2 linked regions of the Anolis sagrei genome follow. The protein of the gene in region 1 purifies or fractionates together with the protein of each later gene. This does not show direct contact. Links are inferred from orthologs where the notes say so. Each region holds a gene or a part of one and is shown on either strand. Other genes may lie near its edges.

The links.
Region 2: the proteins of ARHGEF12 (region 1) and GNA13 purify together in Homo sapiens (affinity purification with western blotting; 3 studies listed by BioGRID). This does not show direct contact. The link is inferred for Anolis sagrei from reciprocal best matches to the Homo sapiens genes ARHGEF12 and GNA13.

What each region holds. Positions count from the first base shown.
Region 1 is NC_090027.1:37,523,917-37,531,784, reverse strand, and holds the start of ARHGEF12 (rho guanine nucleotide exchange factor 12), read left to right. Parts: upstream 1-4,768; 5' UTR 4,769-5,439; intron 5,440-7,134; 5' UTR 7,135-7,868. UniProt on the Homo sapiens protein: May play a role in the regulation of RhoA GTPase by guanine nucleotide-binding alpha-12 (GNA12) and alpha-13 (GNA13). Acts as guanine nucleotide exchange factor (GEF) for RhoA GTPase and may act as GTPase-activating protein (GAP) for GNA12 and GNA13.
Region 2 is NC_090022.1:182,315,829-182,323,418, reverse strand, and holds the start of GNA13 (guanine nucleotide-binding protein subunit alpha-13), read right to left. Parts: upstream 3,168-7,590; 5' UTR 3,089-3,167; coding exon 2,806-3,088; intron 1-2,805. UniProt on the Homo sapiens protein: Guanine nucleotide-binding proteins (G proteins) are involved as modulators or transducers in various transmembrane signaling systems.

The sequences.
Region 1 (7,868 bases):
AGAAAGCTTAGTTTTTTTACAGTTTTTGCTGGGGGGATCCAGTCCCACAGCTCTACGGCTTTTGCTGGGGGGAATTCAGTCCCACAGCTCTACGGCTTTTGCTGGGGGGAATTCAGTCCCACAGCTCTACAGAGAAGCATAGCCTTTGTTGGGGGGATCCAGTTCCACAGCTTTACAGCCAGCCTTCACTGGGAATTGAAGACCTTCTTTCCTCTTGGAAATCTACAAAAGGACTCTGTTTGGTAAGGACCACTCACGGCAGCCATAACGCAATCTGGACCGGGTGTAGGGGCCCACGCCAACAGAGCTTAACACAGATTGCCCAGGTAGAGGTCAAGGATTTCCCTGATAGTGAAGAAACAGTTCATGAAGATAGTTGCCTGTCCCTTGTGAACAAGATTAAGAAAGTCACCAGTTGATTCAAAGCCTTGAAGTATTTGTTTGACTTATTGAAGACCTAAGCACTAATAAAGAACTTTGTTAAACTTTCCAAGTTTCTAAGTTTCCAAGACTTTGTTTAGGGAAATCCAAAAGGCCTCTAATCTGAGGCACCCCCGGCGTCCCGTTGGGCATACAGAATACGTCCTGTCTACAGACTCTTTCACAGGCCCAGTGCGTGACAGCACAATTATTTATGAATGGTCTATGGTCATAATGTAAATAAACACATTCCTGAACCTCTAATAGTTTTCTTCTCTGCAGAATTATTATAGTTTGACCACAGTTTAACTGCCATTGCTCAGTGCTATGGAATCCCAGGAGCTGGAGTATTCCAGGGCTTTTAGCCTTCTCTCCCAGAGTGATGGTACTTCATCCAATGACAACTCCCAGGATGCCATAGCATTGAGCCAGGGCAGTTAAACTGGGATCAAAATGCATTCATTTCCCAATGTAGATGCACTCTAAGAGTAATTACTTATTTGAATTAAAGTAAAGGTAAAGGTTTTCCCCTGACATTAAGTCTAGTCATGTCCGACTCTAGGGGCTGGTGCTCTTCTTCACTTCTAAGCCGAAGAGCCAGCGTTGTCCATAGACGCCTCCTGGGTCATGCGGCCAGCATGACTGCATGGAGCATCGTTACATTCATTTCCCAATGTAGATGCACTCAAGGAGTAATTACTTATTTGAATTATAGAAAAGGTAAAGGTTTCCTCGTGACATTAAGTCTAGTCGAGTCCAAGCCTGGGGTTGGTGCTCATCTCTATTTCTTAGCCAAAGAGCTGGCATTGTCCGTAGTCACCACCTAGGTCATGTGGCCAGCATGACTGCATGGAGTGTTGTTACCTTCCTGCTGAAGCGGTACCTATTGATCTATTCACATTTGCATGTTTTTGAACTGCTAAGTTGGCAGAAGCTGGGGCTAACAGTGGGAACTCACCCTGCTCCCTGGATTTGAATTGATGACCTTTTGGTCAGCAAGTTCAGCAGCTCAGCGGTTTAACCTGCTATGTCACTGGGGGCTCTCATTTGGATTATAACTTTCAGAATTTTCCAGGGAACATTGCTGAATGATCATCCAAAGACCTAGTTTTCCAAGCTCTGGCTGATACCCTTTACAAATTTGTCTATATTTTGTAACAAAGACTTGTAGCAATGAGTTCCACAGGTTTACATGCAGCGCAAAGAAGTTATTCTCCCATTCATCAACCATAAGCCTCCTGAGTGTCACTGGGTGTTCTTTGTATTAGAAACTAGGCACACATTTATGTCTGTTATGCAGAATTTCTGCCATTCTGCTCACTGCTGCGAAACAAGGAGAAACCCCTTCATGGCAACTGTGCCTTAACAATGATAGATTATTGCATTAGAGCTGAGCTCTGACCATAGATTTTCTGGCAAGATGAAATAAATGAGCTTCCAAACTGTTGTTGCTTTAGTTTATTCAGGTGTTTTTCCCTCAGAGAGGGGAAGTGAAACTCAATACAATGTTTGCAGTCCGTTCATCTTAAGTGGCTGCCGATCAATTTATGGGGTGTTTAGTCTGGGATGTTGCACTTTATGCTCGTTCTTCTCCCTGAAGTCGATAGATTGACTTTTGTCCTGTTTTGCAAAATGTCTGGAAGTGATTTCCAAGAGAACAAATTTTGCAAAATAATAATGATGATGATAATAATAATAATGTTGACACGATATGAGGATTTAAAGATCAAACTGCAAAGACTCTGGCACAAGCCAGTAAAGGTGGTTCCAGTGGTGATCGGCACACTGGGTGCAGTGCCTAAAGACCTTGGCCTGCACTTAAGCACAATCGGTGCTGACACGATTACCATCTGCCAGCTACTGGGATCTGCATGCATTGTTCACTGATACATCACATAGTCCTAGACACTTGGGACATGTTGGATGTGTGATCCAATACAACAGCCAGTATAGTAATCTTGTTTGCTGTGGACTCATCCTGTTGTGTTTCAAATAATAATAATAATAATAATAATAATAATAATAATAATACGTCTCTGGGTTTAAAATCGTTGCCACTTTAACATCTTGGCATACATATTTTAAAAGTTTTCCAATTCTTCTATTGATCTTAAGGGGGAAAATAAACAGAATACGCACACTATTCAAACATGTCATAACATCTGTGAATAGTCAAATCTCCTAAAGTAAAAAACAAGGAGGGTTAACTATATTTGTCCTGCGACATTTCAAATGAGTTGATTTCGCAACCACAGACAGAAATAGGAAAAACAATGGCAGGGCACAGATTGGGTTGCTGTGTGTTTTCTGGGCTGTATGTCCATGTTCCGGAAGCATTCTCTCCTGACGTTTCACCCACATCTATGGCAGGCATCCTCCGAGGTTGTGAGGTCTGTTGGAAAATAGGAAAATTGACTTTATGTATCTGTGGAACAATGTCCAAGGTGGGAGAAAGAACTCTTGCCTGTTGGAACATACTGTCTCCAATGTCTTTCTTTGGCACCAAATATTGCAATACCAGGAGCTTCCTGAAGGTGGCAGCACTTTGCATATGGCGCTTGGGTTGCAATTCTCTCCTAAGTGGGACTTACTCCAATGTAGACAAGGATTCAGCCTCCAAAATAAGTCCAGCACCTTGGAGAGGCCTCTATTTCAGACTATGTGTGGCATCTCCCTAACTCTTCTCCAAAAACACAATGCAATTCGATTTCCCATTTCATATTGCTCCTTAAAGGAACTTTCCCCCCCCCCCGCCCTCCTTTATCGGCCTATGGCGGAAGCGGCAACGCATGTGCTGTGACAGGAAGAGTCGAGGCGGAGCAAGGGAAGGGCGTGACGCGTGCCGACGCGGAGGGATCCTCCCGAAGGGGAAAAAAGGGAGGGGGAGAGGAGAAAAACGAGTCCCGGCATCTCCGGAAAAGCCCGAAGCCTTCCGAGTGAAAGCCTGAAGTAAGGGAGCAGAGGAAGCAGGCGGAAAGGAACGAGGCGGGGCGATTAAGAGTCGGAATTACCGGAAAACTCCGAAGATAGCCGAGCTGAGTCGAGAGAACTCCGACTTACAGAAGTAGAAGGGGAACATGAGGGAGCGAAAAATGAATCCGGAAAAAGCCGGAGATAGCCGAGTGTGGCCGAACTAAGAGGCATAAAGTAGAAGGGGAAAGAAATGTGTGTGTGTGGGGGGGGGTAACGTTCGGGAAAAGTCGGAAAAATCCGAAAGTAGCCGAAGTGAGTCGAGCAAATTCTTGAAGGAATGGAAGCGGAGGAAAGAGGCGAAAGGGAGAAATGAGTTCGGGAATTGCCGGAAAATCCCGAAGGTTGCCGAGTATTGAGTCGAGCGAAGAGGCATAAAGGGAAAGTGGGGGGGTTCGGGAATATTCGGAAAAGTACGAAAGTAGCCGAACAGAGTCGAGGGAATTCCTGAAGGATTAGAAACGGAGGAAAGTGGGAAATAAGTCCGGGAATCTCCGGAAAAGTCCGAAGGTAGCCGAGAACGAGTGAGAACGAACCGCTGTGTAAAGAAGCCGAAGGGGGAGAAGGAATGAAGTCCGGGAATTACCGGAAAAGCCCGAAAGCAGCCGAAAACTGAGTTGAGCGGAGAGGCATAAAGGATCGGGATGGGAGGAGGAGGAGGGGTTACGTTCGGGAATTTCCGGAAATACCCGAAGGTTGCCGAATACTGAATCGAGCGAAGAGGAATAAAAGAAAGGGGGGTACGTTCGGGAATAGTCGGAAACCGCCGAAAGTAGCCGAACAGAGTCGAAGCAATTCCAGAAGGAATAGAAACTGAGGGAAGAGTCGAAAGAGGGAAATGAGTTCGGGAATTGCCGGAAAAAACCGAAACGAGTGAAGCTAAGAAGTGGAGGAAGAAAGGGGAAGAGCGGGAGCTGAAGAAATCCGGGAATGGCCGGAAAAGCCCGAAAATAGCCGAGTGCAGATAATGACTGAAATAAAGGGGAAAAAAATACTAATTGACTCGGGAATGTTCGGAAATACCCGAAAGTTGCAGAGTAAAGGCAGGGGGGACGTTCGGGAATAGTCGGAAATCCCCGAAAGTTGCCGAATAGAGTCGAAGCAATTCCAGAAGGAATAGAAACTGAGGGAAGAGTCGAAAGGAGGAAATGAGTTCGGGAATCTTCGGAAAAGCCCGAAGGTAGCCGAGAACGAGTGGAGGAAAAAAGGGGAAGAGCGGGAGATGAAGAAATCCGGGAATGGCCGGAAAAGCCCGAAAATAGCCGAGTGGAGATAATGACTGAAATAAAGGGGAGAAAAAAACTAATTGACTCGGGAATGGCCGGAAAAGACCGAAAATAGCCGAGTGGAGATAATGACTGAAATAAAGGGGGGGGGACACAAATTGACTCGGGAATGGCCGGAAAGTCCCGAAGATACCCGACAGGAGCCGAAAGCGAGTGGGGCGAATCCCTGAAGTGAAGAAGAGGCTGGGAAAGGGGAGGGAACGTCCGGAAACACCCGAAAGTAGCCGAGCGGAGCCGAGCCGGGGCCTGCCTGAGGGAAGCCGGCGGGGCGGAGGGGGGAGCAGCGCTGGCCTGAGGAGAAGCTCTTCAGGATCCGGAGAGGAGGCCGGAGCGGGGCCTGCGGAGGAGACCAGGCCGAGGAAGAGAAGGAGGAGGAAGGCCAGGCCAGGCCTCGCCACATTCCTCCGGCGGGAAGGAGAAGGAGGAGGAGGAGGAGGAGGAGGGGGCGAAACTAAGTCTCCTCCTCAGGCCCGACGTCGAGGGAGAAGGGCCGACGGGCCTGAGGGGACTTCGGCCGAGAAGCAGGAGGAGGACAGCCACCCCCAGGCTCGGGACCCCCCTCAGGAGGCACTTGGAGGCCTGGAAGAGAGACTCCAAGGGGGAAAAAAAGGAGGAACCCGACCTCAAAGGGGAGCCACACAACTACCCATCCACACTGCCCTCGAGGGTGGCTCCTTTCTGCACCCCTTTTTCGTCAGGAGCAGAGGAGAAGGAAAGGAAGCACAAGGAAGGCTCGAGGAGAGAGGCACAGACCCGCAGACAGGTATACACACACAGAAACATACCTGCAGATGCAAACACATCCATCCATCCATCAAGTGCTGCTTTGACTCTTCTTTGCAGCCCTTTTTCCCTCAGGGCCAGAGGAGAAGGAGGAAGAAGAAGGAGAGGGATCAAGAAGGCTGGAAAAGACACACACACAGATACAAACACAAAACACATACACAAACCTAGACACACGTGAAACACATACATAAACCTATTCACACACACAAATACAAACATAAAACACATACATAAACATAAACACATACCACCCCACACATACATACAGATACAAACATAAATACACAAACACATACCTACACGCAGATACACACACATACAGATACAAACATAAAGCACATACCTACACACAGACAAAATACAAACCGATACAAACATTAAACACATACATGAACACACACAGATACACATACATACAGCTACAAACATTAAACATACTCAAGCACATACCTTCACGTACATAAACACATACCTTCACACAGATACACACACATACAGATGCAAACATAAAGCACATACCTACACACAGACAAAAATACAAACAGATACAAACGTTAAACATATAAACATAAACCTATACACAGACACAAATACAAACATAAAACACATATATAAACATAAACACATACCACCCCGCAAACACATACATACAAATACAAACCTAAATACATAAACACATACCTACATGCAGTTACACACGCATACAGATACAATCATAAACACACACCTTCACTCAGGTACACGCACATACAGATACAAACATTAAACACATACATAAACACATATCTTCACGCAGATACACATACATACAGCTACAAACATTAAACATACTCAAGCACATACCTTCACATACATAAACACATACTTTCACGCAGATACACACACATACAGATGCAAACATAAAGCACATACCTGCACACAGACAAAAATACAAACAGATACAAACATTAAATACATAAACATATACCTTCACACAGATACACACACGTGCAGATACAAATATAAAACACATACATAAACATAAACCTATACACAGACACAAATACAAACATAAAACACATATATAAACATAAACACATACCACCCCACAAACACATACTTACATACAGATACAAACATAAATACATAAACACATACCTACACTCAGGTACACGCACATACAGATACAAACATTAAACACATACATAAACACATATCTTCACGCAGATACACATACATACAGCTACAAGCATTAAACATACTCAAACACATACCTTCACGCAGATACACACACATACAGATACAGACATAAAACACACACATAAACACATACCTACATGCAGACCCATACATACAGATAACAAACATAAAACACATACATAAACACATACCTACATGCAGAGACACACACATACAGATGCAAACATAAAACACTTTCTTAAACACAGACACATACAGATACAAACATAAAGCAGATACATAAATACATACCTTCACATACACACATATAGACATAAATATTAAAAAAATACATAAACACAGCCAGGTGCAAACATTGACACAAAGACATACATCCAGGTACATATATGTACATACTGATACAAGCATAAGCATACACACTCAAACATATACATATATACACACAGGGCCCAACACGGCTGTGACTTCGTTTTTCTTTTTGCCTTTTCTCCAGGACAAGAGAGGAAGGAAGGAAGGAGGGGAGATCTAAAGAAGGCCGGAGGCAGGCCAACAGATTCCACATTCTTGTGTGTCAACTCCGGGCTTAGAGAAGAAAGAAAGAAAGACGGGATGTAGAGGAAGACACACACACACTCCATAGAAAGCGTGGCTGTGATTTCTTTACGCACCCCAAAAACAGGACCAGAGGAAGGAGGCTGTGCCATCGCAGTCCACCTTGGAATCCAATTCTGGGCCTTTATTTTGTTGCCTTTGCTTCTACGACTCGGCCTGGAGATGAAAGAGAGAGACGGGATATCAAGGCAGGTGGAGGCTTGAGAAGGCCACAGCCCTATTTTTTCCCCTTTTCTTTGCCCCAATTTTCATCCAGGACAAGAGGAGAGAATTCAGTCTAACTCAGAGATTTCGCTTAGATATTTCCACTACTTTCCCTTTTCTCGGTGGGGACAAAAGAAGGGGGGGGGGGCTGCTATTTTTGTATGTTTTTTCTAGATAGATACTTGATTCTCTATAGGAAGGGGCTGTTTTCCTGTTGACAACCCCACCCTCAGCATCTTTTCTTGACAATCCCATATAGAAACAGTAGTATCTATTTCCCTCTAGCCTGTTAAGGGTAGATAGTAATATAAATCCTTAAAAGGGAGGGCAAATCAATCTTTGGTGAGCAAAGCATTAGAAACCGCTCTGCTGAGTAGCTTTCCCTGATCAAGTTGAGGTTTTTGATGGAGA
Region 2 (7,590 bases), on another chromosome or scaffold:
ACTAATACTTTCATGTCAAGCTGCTTCGAGTCCCTTTTGGGGAGATAAATCGAGGTATAATATGTTAATAATAGAAGTTTTTTAATTTATATTTATTTGTTTGTTTTTGCACTACAAACAGAATATGTGCAGTGTGCATCGGAAGTCATTTGTGTTTTTTTCAAACTAAAGTTTTGTGGGATAGTGAACCAACCTTTCAGCTTTAAAAAAGTCAAGGATCCCTTTCCCTGGGATACAGGTGAGGCTCCCAGAACTCTTTGGCAGAAAAGAGTGCTAGTGAACTGCTATGGCTCCATGATTCTGTAGCACTAAGCCATGGCACTTCAAGTGGTGCCAAAGTGCACTAAGCGTAGGCTAAAAAAAAAAACCTTTGAAAACTACAACTTCCAGGGTTCCATAGTATGGAGCCGTGACAATTCAAGTGGGCTCAAAGTGCATTAAGGGTTGATGGCACAGAACAGTGGTTCTCAATCTCTGGGTCCCCAGATGTTTTGGCCTACAATTCCCAGAAATCCCAGCCAGTTTACCAGCTGTTGGGATTTCTGGGAGTTGAAGGTCAAAACATCTGGGGATCCACAGATTGAGAAACACTGGCACAGAGAGCTAAATTCTACAAAACTTCCAGTGTTCCACAGCATGCAGCTACGTCGGTTCAAACTGCATTCAAAGTAGTGAAATGGAATCCTGGAAGTTATACCTTTAGAAGGAATAGGCAAAGAGGCCTACAGAAGCTTGGGAGTACTTCAGGATCTGTCTCTCCAAATGTCAGCCAAGGTAGATGCAAATGGTCATGAGTGCATACTATCAGCTTCAACCGATCTGCCAGCTATGCCCTTCCTAGATTTGGAGGTCCTACAGATAGAGTCGGAGACGACTGAACGAATGAACAACAACAACAACAGATGGTAGTGCATGTACTGGGAACCTCAAGGTTGGACTTCTGCAATGTGCTACCCCTATACCAAGTTCGGAAACTCCAACTGGTTCAAAATACAGCAGCCAGACTGGTTACGGGAACATCTAGGAATGTGCATATTACCCTGTATACGCCCCACACACTTCGGACTTCTGCAGGGCGCCTGGTCCAACCAGCCAGAACCAGTAACCGTCACCCAGAGGACCTTTCCATTGCCCACCCCAAGGCTGTGGAGTGACCTGCAGGTAGAGCTCTGACAGTTAAATCAGCTGTCGGAATTTAAAACACAAGTGAAGACCTGTCTCTTCCTGCAGGCCCACCCAGAAAGTCTTTAAATACAAAGATGCATTTTGATCTCTGTTTTGTCTGTTTTAATATGAATATTTAAATGTGTATTTAGGAAGAACTTCCTGACTGTGAGCACTGTTCAGCAGTGGAACTCTCTGCCCCGGAGTGTGGTTGAGGCTCTTTCTTTGGAAGCTTTTAAACAGAGGCTGGGTGGCCATCTGTCGGGAGTGCTTTGAATGCAATTTTCCTGCTTCTATTTCCTAGAGATACATTTTGGTACATAACTTTTATGGAGGTATGCTTTAGTGCGCGTGTATTTGTAGAGTTTTTCTGGTGTTTGTGTATTTTAATGGTTTGGTAGTCCACCTCGAGCCATGAGGAGAGGTGGGTAAGAAATACAATTATTATTATTATTATTACTAGCCGTTCCCTGCCATGCGTTCCTGTGGCGCAGTCTGGTGATCTGGAAAATAAAGTAATGGTTTCTAATCTATGCAATTTCTTTCTGCTTGTGGGTAAACAGTATTTCTTGTGGTTTCTTTGTCAGTGGGGATGTGGAGAGTGTCTGGTTTGCCTACTCTGGAACATGCAACATATCGTTGAAATTGCTGTTGTTAACTGCTTTGAGTCACCTAAGGGCTGAGAGAAGCTGTATATAAATGAACTAAGTAAGTAAATAAATAAAATCGTTGTCCTTCTTTAAGGGTCCCTTTCAAATCTATGATATTATATCTCTCTGTGTGTGAATCATATAGATCTATCTTTCTATGGCTGGATGGCTGTCAGGAGGGCTTTGATTAGATTTTCTTGCCCTGGTGAAGAGAGTTGGACTGGATGGCCCTAAGTATTTTGGTTGGTCATGGGGATTCTGCGTGGGAAGTTTGCCCCAATTCTGTCATTTGTGGGGTTCTGAATGCTCTTTGACTGTAGGTGAACTATAAATCCCAGTAACTACAACTCCCAAATGTTGAGGTCTATTTCCCCCAAAATCCATCTGTGTTCATTAGTTGGGCATATGGAATATTTGTGCCAAGTTTGGTCCAGATCCATCATTGTTTGAGTCCACAGTGCTCTCTGGATGTAGGTGAACTACAACTTCCAAACTCAAGGTCAATGCCCACCAAACCCTTCTAGTGTTTTCTGTTGGGTCATGGGAGTCCTGTGTGTCACCTTTGGTGGAGTTCAGAATGCTCTTTGATTGTTGTTGAACTATAAATCCCAAGAACTACAACTCCCAAATGACAAAATCAAAAAGTTTTGAGTGAAGGACATACGTTGGGTTGTTAGGTGTATGCTGTCCAAATGTGGTGTCAATTCGGCCACTGGTTTTTGAGTTCTGTTAATGCCACAAAACGAACATTATATTTTTGTTTATATATAGATGATGATGATGATGATTATGATTCCTGGCGCCACTTCCCCTTGACGCCTCAGGAGGCCTTTCCTGCTCCTCCTCCCACCTGCTTGGCCTTCTCGAAGGAGGAGAGGCCTGGGCCTCCTCCTGAGCGCCTCCCTGCGCCTGAGGCCTAGCTTGCTCCTTCAGCCTCCGCCTGCGGCCTTCCCTCCCTCCCTCTCCTTCTCCCAAGGAAGGCCCCCCTCACCCTTGAGGACGTTGCTGTAGATGGTGGCGCGGAAGTCCTCGCGCGCGGAGCGGTCCCAGTCCTCTCCGTGGATGATGCGCATCTGCTTGAGGAAGGTGCTCTTGCCGCTCTCGCCGGCGCCCAGCAGCAGGATCTTGACCAGCCTCTTGACGTAGGTCTTCTCGCGGTAGAGGCACTTGTCGATCTCTTTGGACTTGCGCTGCTGCTCGGCCTCGCTGCTGTTCAGCAGGCAGCTCGGGAAGCACACCGACAGCGAGGACCGCGATGGCAGGAAATCCGCCATCTTAGCGAGCACTGCCAACCAGGGAGCGGCCGCCGCGGCCCGGGCCGCTCTGCGCCTGCGCACCGCGCTCTCTCGCGCTCGCTCTCTCCCCCTCCACACACACACACCCTCCTCCTCCTCCTCCCTCGCCCTCCTTCCTTCCTCCGCTCGGCGTCACGTGACGGCTGCCCAATTAAGAGCTGCGCTTGGCGGCGCGCGGAGCACGTTGATCCTTGGACTCGCGTCGTCGTGGCCCCGCCCGCCCTATTCCACTTCCCCGCGCTCGCCCAGCCCCAACTCAGCGGAGTCTTTATTGGCGCATGCGCAAAGTGGTTTGGTCTTTTTACGAGGAGCGTTCCCGCTCTTCTTTATAGGCAGGGCTCCTTTGCATTTGGGAAGTGGCTTCTGAGGGCCCTTCCACACCACTGAATAAAATCCCACATTATCTGCTTTGAACTGGAATATATGGCAGTATGGACTCAGCTAACCTAGTTCAGAGCAGATATTGTGGGATTGTTTGCCTTAAATATTTAGGATATATGGCTTTGGGCCCTTCCACACAGCCCTATATCCCAGAATATTAAGGCAGAAAATACCACATCCGCTTTGAAATGGAATATATGACAGTATGGACTCAGATAACCTAGTTCAAAGCAGATATTGTGGAGGCTCCTTCTTTGGAAGCTTTTAAACAGAGGCTGGATGGCCATCTGTCAGGGGTGATTTGAATGCAATATTCCTGCTTCTTGACAGGGGCTTGGACTGGATGGCCCATGAGGTCTCTTCCAACTCTGGTTCTATGATTTTTTGCCCTAAAATTATAGGTTATATGGCTTTGGGCCCTTCCACACAGCCCTATATCCCAGAATATCAAGGCAGAAAATCCCACATTATCTGCTTTGAACTGGAATATGTGGCAGTATGGCAATATCAAGGCAGAAAATCCCACAATATGAACTGGGTTGAGTAAGAAAATGTGGGATTTCCTGCCTTGATATTCTGGGATTTAGGACTGTGGAAGGGCTCTAAGGGTACCCAGTGGGTTTCAATGGCCAAGCAGAGATTTGAACCCTAGTCTCAGAGTCATCTGCTTTGAGCTGGAATATATGTCACTGGACACATAACCCAGTTCAAAGCAGATAATGTGGGATTTCCTGCCTTGATATTCTGGGAAGACAAGCGGACAAATGTCAGTGTGCTGGAAGAAGCAAAGACCACCAGCATTGAAGCAATGGTCCTCCGCCATCAACTTCGCTGGACTGGCCACGTTGTCTGGATGTTCGACCACCGTCTCCCAAAGCAGTTGCTCTACTCCGAACTCAAGAATGGAAAACAGAAAAGAGATAGGCACTGGGAATCTCTGGCCCTTGATCACTCCAGTTGGAGGTCAGCTGTGACCAACAGTGGTGTAGAATTTGAAAAGGCACAAATGGAGGGCAAAAGAGAGAAACATGCCAAGAGGAAGGCGTGTCAAGCCAACCCTGACCGGGACCGCCTTCCACCTGAAAACCGATGTCCTCACTGCGGGAGAAGATGTAGGTCAAGAATAGGGCTCCACAGCCACCTCCGGACCCACCGCCAAGACACTGATCTTGGAAGACAATCCTACTCGGAAACGAGGGATTGCCTAAGAGAGATTCTGGGATATAGGGCTATGTGGAAGGACCCCAGACAGGCTGTATATCTGAGGATCTGGTCTCAGGTTTTCTGTTTATCCCAGATTATCTGGCAATACAGATTCATATAATCCAGTTTAAAGCAGAAAACCTGAGGTCAGATCCTAGGATTAAGGGCTCTTCCGCACAGCCATATAACCAAGGATATCAAGGCAGAAAATCCTATAATATCTGCTTTGAACCCCCATTGACAATGGACCTGGAGCACATTTTGCACATATAACCCCCATGACCAACAATACATTTAGATTTATAGCTGTAGGTTCTGGGATTTATAGATCACATGCAATCAAAGAGCACTCTGGACTCGACCAACAATGGACCTGGAACTAACTTGGCAAACAAAAACCCCATGACCAAGAAAAAAACACTGGAAGAGTTGTAGTTCACCTGCATCCAGAGTGCACTGTGAATCCAAACTTGACATGCATACCTGATATTCCCAAATTTGAATACTGGTGAGTTTGGAGGGGAATTGGCCTGGATATTTTGTGGTTGTAGATACTGGGATGTATAGTTTACCTGCAATCAAAGAGCACTCTGGACCCCACCAACAATGACTCTGGACCTCACTTGGCACACAGAACCCCCATGATCTGCACAAAATGCAGCAGGACTTGGGGGGGGGGAGTGGGAATTCACCTTGATTTATAGGAATTATAGTTCACCTACATCCAGACTGCACTGTAAATGCAAACAATGGGCCTTATGAACCCACAACTCCCAGGATTCTATAGCATTGAGCCATGGCAGTTATAGTTGTTTCAAACTGCATTAATTCTACAGTGTAGATGCACCCTTAGGGAACATAGCTGGGGGGGGGGGCTATTAATATTGTCCCACCCACCTACTATTAGATTGCGCTGTGGCGTAACTAGCTGATAGCTAGCTGCATTAAATCACTACTGACGGAGAGGTCATGAGTTCGAAGCCAGCCCAGCTCAGAGTGAGCTTCCAGCCATTACTCTAGCTTGCTGTCGACCTTTGCAGTCCGAAAGACAGTTGTATCTGTCAAGTAGGAAATTTAGGTACCGCTTTATGCGGGGAGGCTATTTTAACTAATTTACGATGCCATAAAACCTTCCAGAGATGTGCAGAACGAGGAAGTACTCCATCAAAGGACTCGGTGTCACAAATGGATGGTGAAGCTGCAGTTCCCTCTGTGGCTGGAATCAAGCTGGAATCGAGCATACCCCCATGGAGCCGGAAAGCTGGAATGTTAAATTGCCTCTGTGTCTGTCTATACATGTTGTGTGTCTAATTGGCATTGAATGTTTGCCATCTATATGTGCATTGTAATCTGCTCTGAGTCCACTGTGGGGTGAAAAGGGTGGAAAATAAATACTGTAAATAATAAATAAATAATAAAAGTTTCCTGCCACCTGAGGCAGCTGCCTCAGTCCAATTTAGTGCCAGCTCTAGGTCATTTTCAGCAAATGGCATCTAATGGGAATTCCCTTTCCACCAGAGCAATGCTCAGGTCTGAGCATCTGTCAGTAAGTCTACAGACAATAGTTGGTGATGATTATTCTACCTTGGTCAGACCACACCTGGAATATTGTGTCCAATTCTGGGCGCCACAATCGAAGAGAGATATTGACAACTTGGAATGTGTCCAGAGGAGGGCGACGAAAATGATCAAGGGTCTGGAGAACAAGCCCTATGAAGAGCGGCTTAAAGAGCTGGGCATGTTTAGCGTGAAGAAGAGAAGGCTGAGAGGAGACATGATAGCCATGTATAAATATGCGAGAGGAAGTCATCGGGAAGAGGGCGCGAACTTGTTTTCTGCTGCCCTGGAGACTCGGACGCGGAAAAATAGCTTCAAAGGAGATTCAGGAGATTCCACCTGAACATTAGGAAGAACTTCCTGACTGTGAGAGCTGTTTAGCAGTGGAACTCTCTGCCCGGGATTGTGGAGGCTCCTTCTTTGGAAGCTTTTAAACAGAGACTGGATGGCCATCTGTCGGGGGTGCTTTGAATGCAATTTTCCTGCTTCTTGGCAGGGGGTTGGCCTGGATGGCCCAGGAGGTCTCTTCCAACTCTATCTTCTATATAAATAAAAATGTAATGTTCGTTTGTGGGATTAACAGAACTCAAAAACCACTGGACGAATTGACACCAAATTTGGACACAAGACACCTAACAACCCAATGTTGTTATGTATGTCCTTCACTAAAAAAAATTGATTTTGTCATTTGGGAGTTGTAGTTGCTGGGATTTATAGTTCACCTGCAATCAAAGAGCATTCTGAACCCCACCAACAATGGAATTGAACCAAATTTGGCACACAGTTCTCCCATGACGAAAAGAAAATACTGGAAGGGTTTGGTGGGCAGTGTCCTTTGGTTTTGGAGTTGTAGTTCACCTACATGCAGAGATCACTGTGGACTCAAACAATGATGGATCTGGACCAAACTTGGCACAAATATTCCATATGCCCAAATGTGAACACTGGTGGAGTTTGGGGAAAATAGAATCTTGACATTTGGGAGTTGTAGTTGCTGGGATTTATAGTTCACCTACAATCACAGAGCATTCTGAACCCACCAACGATAGAATTGGGCCAAACCTGCCACACAGAATCCCATGCGGGCCATAGCAACGTGTGGCAGGGGACGGCTAGTGATTCTATAAAGAACTAACTGTCCTCTGCCACGCGTTGCTGTGGCCTAGTCTGTTGATATGGAAAATAAAGTAATGAGAAAGTGTTGGTTTCTAATATATATAATGTCTTGATGCTTGTGGGTAAACAGTATTTCTTGCTGTTATTTTGTCAGTGTTGATGTGGAGAGTGTCTGGTTTGCCTACTTAGGAACATGCAACATATCATTGTCCTTCTTTAGGGGT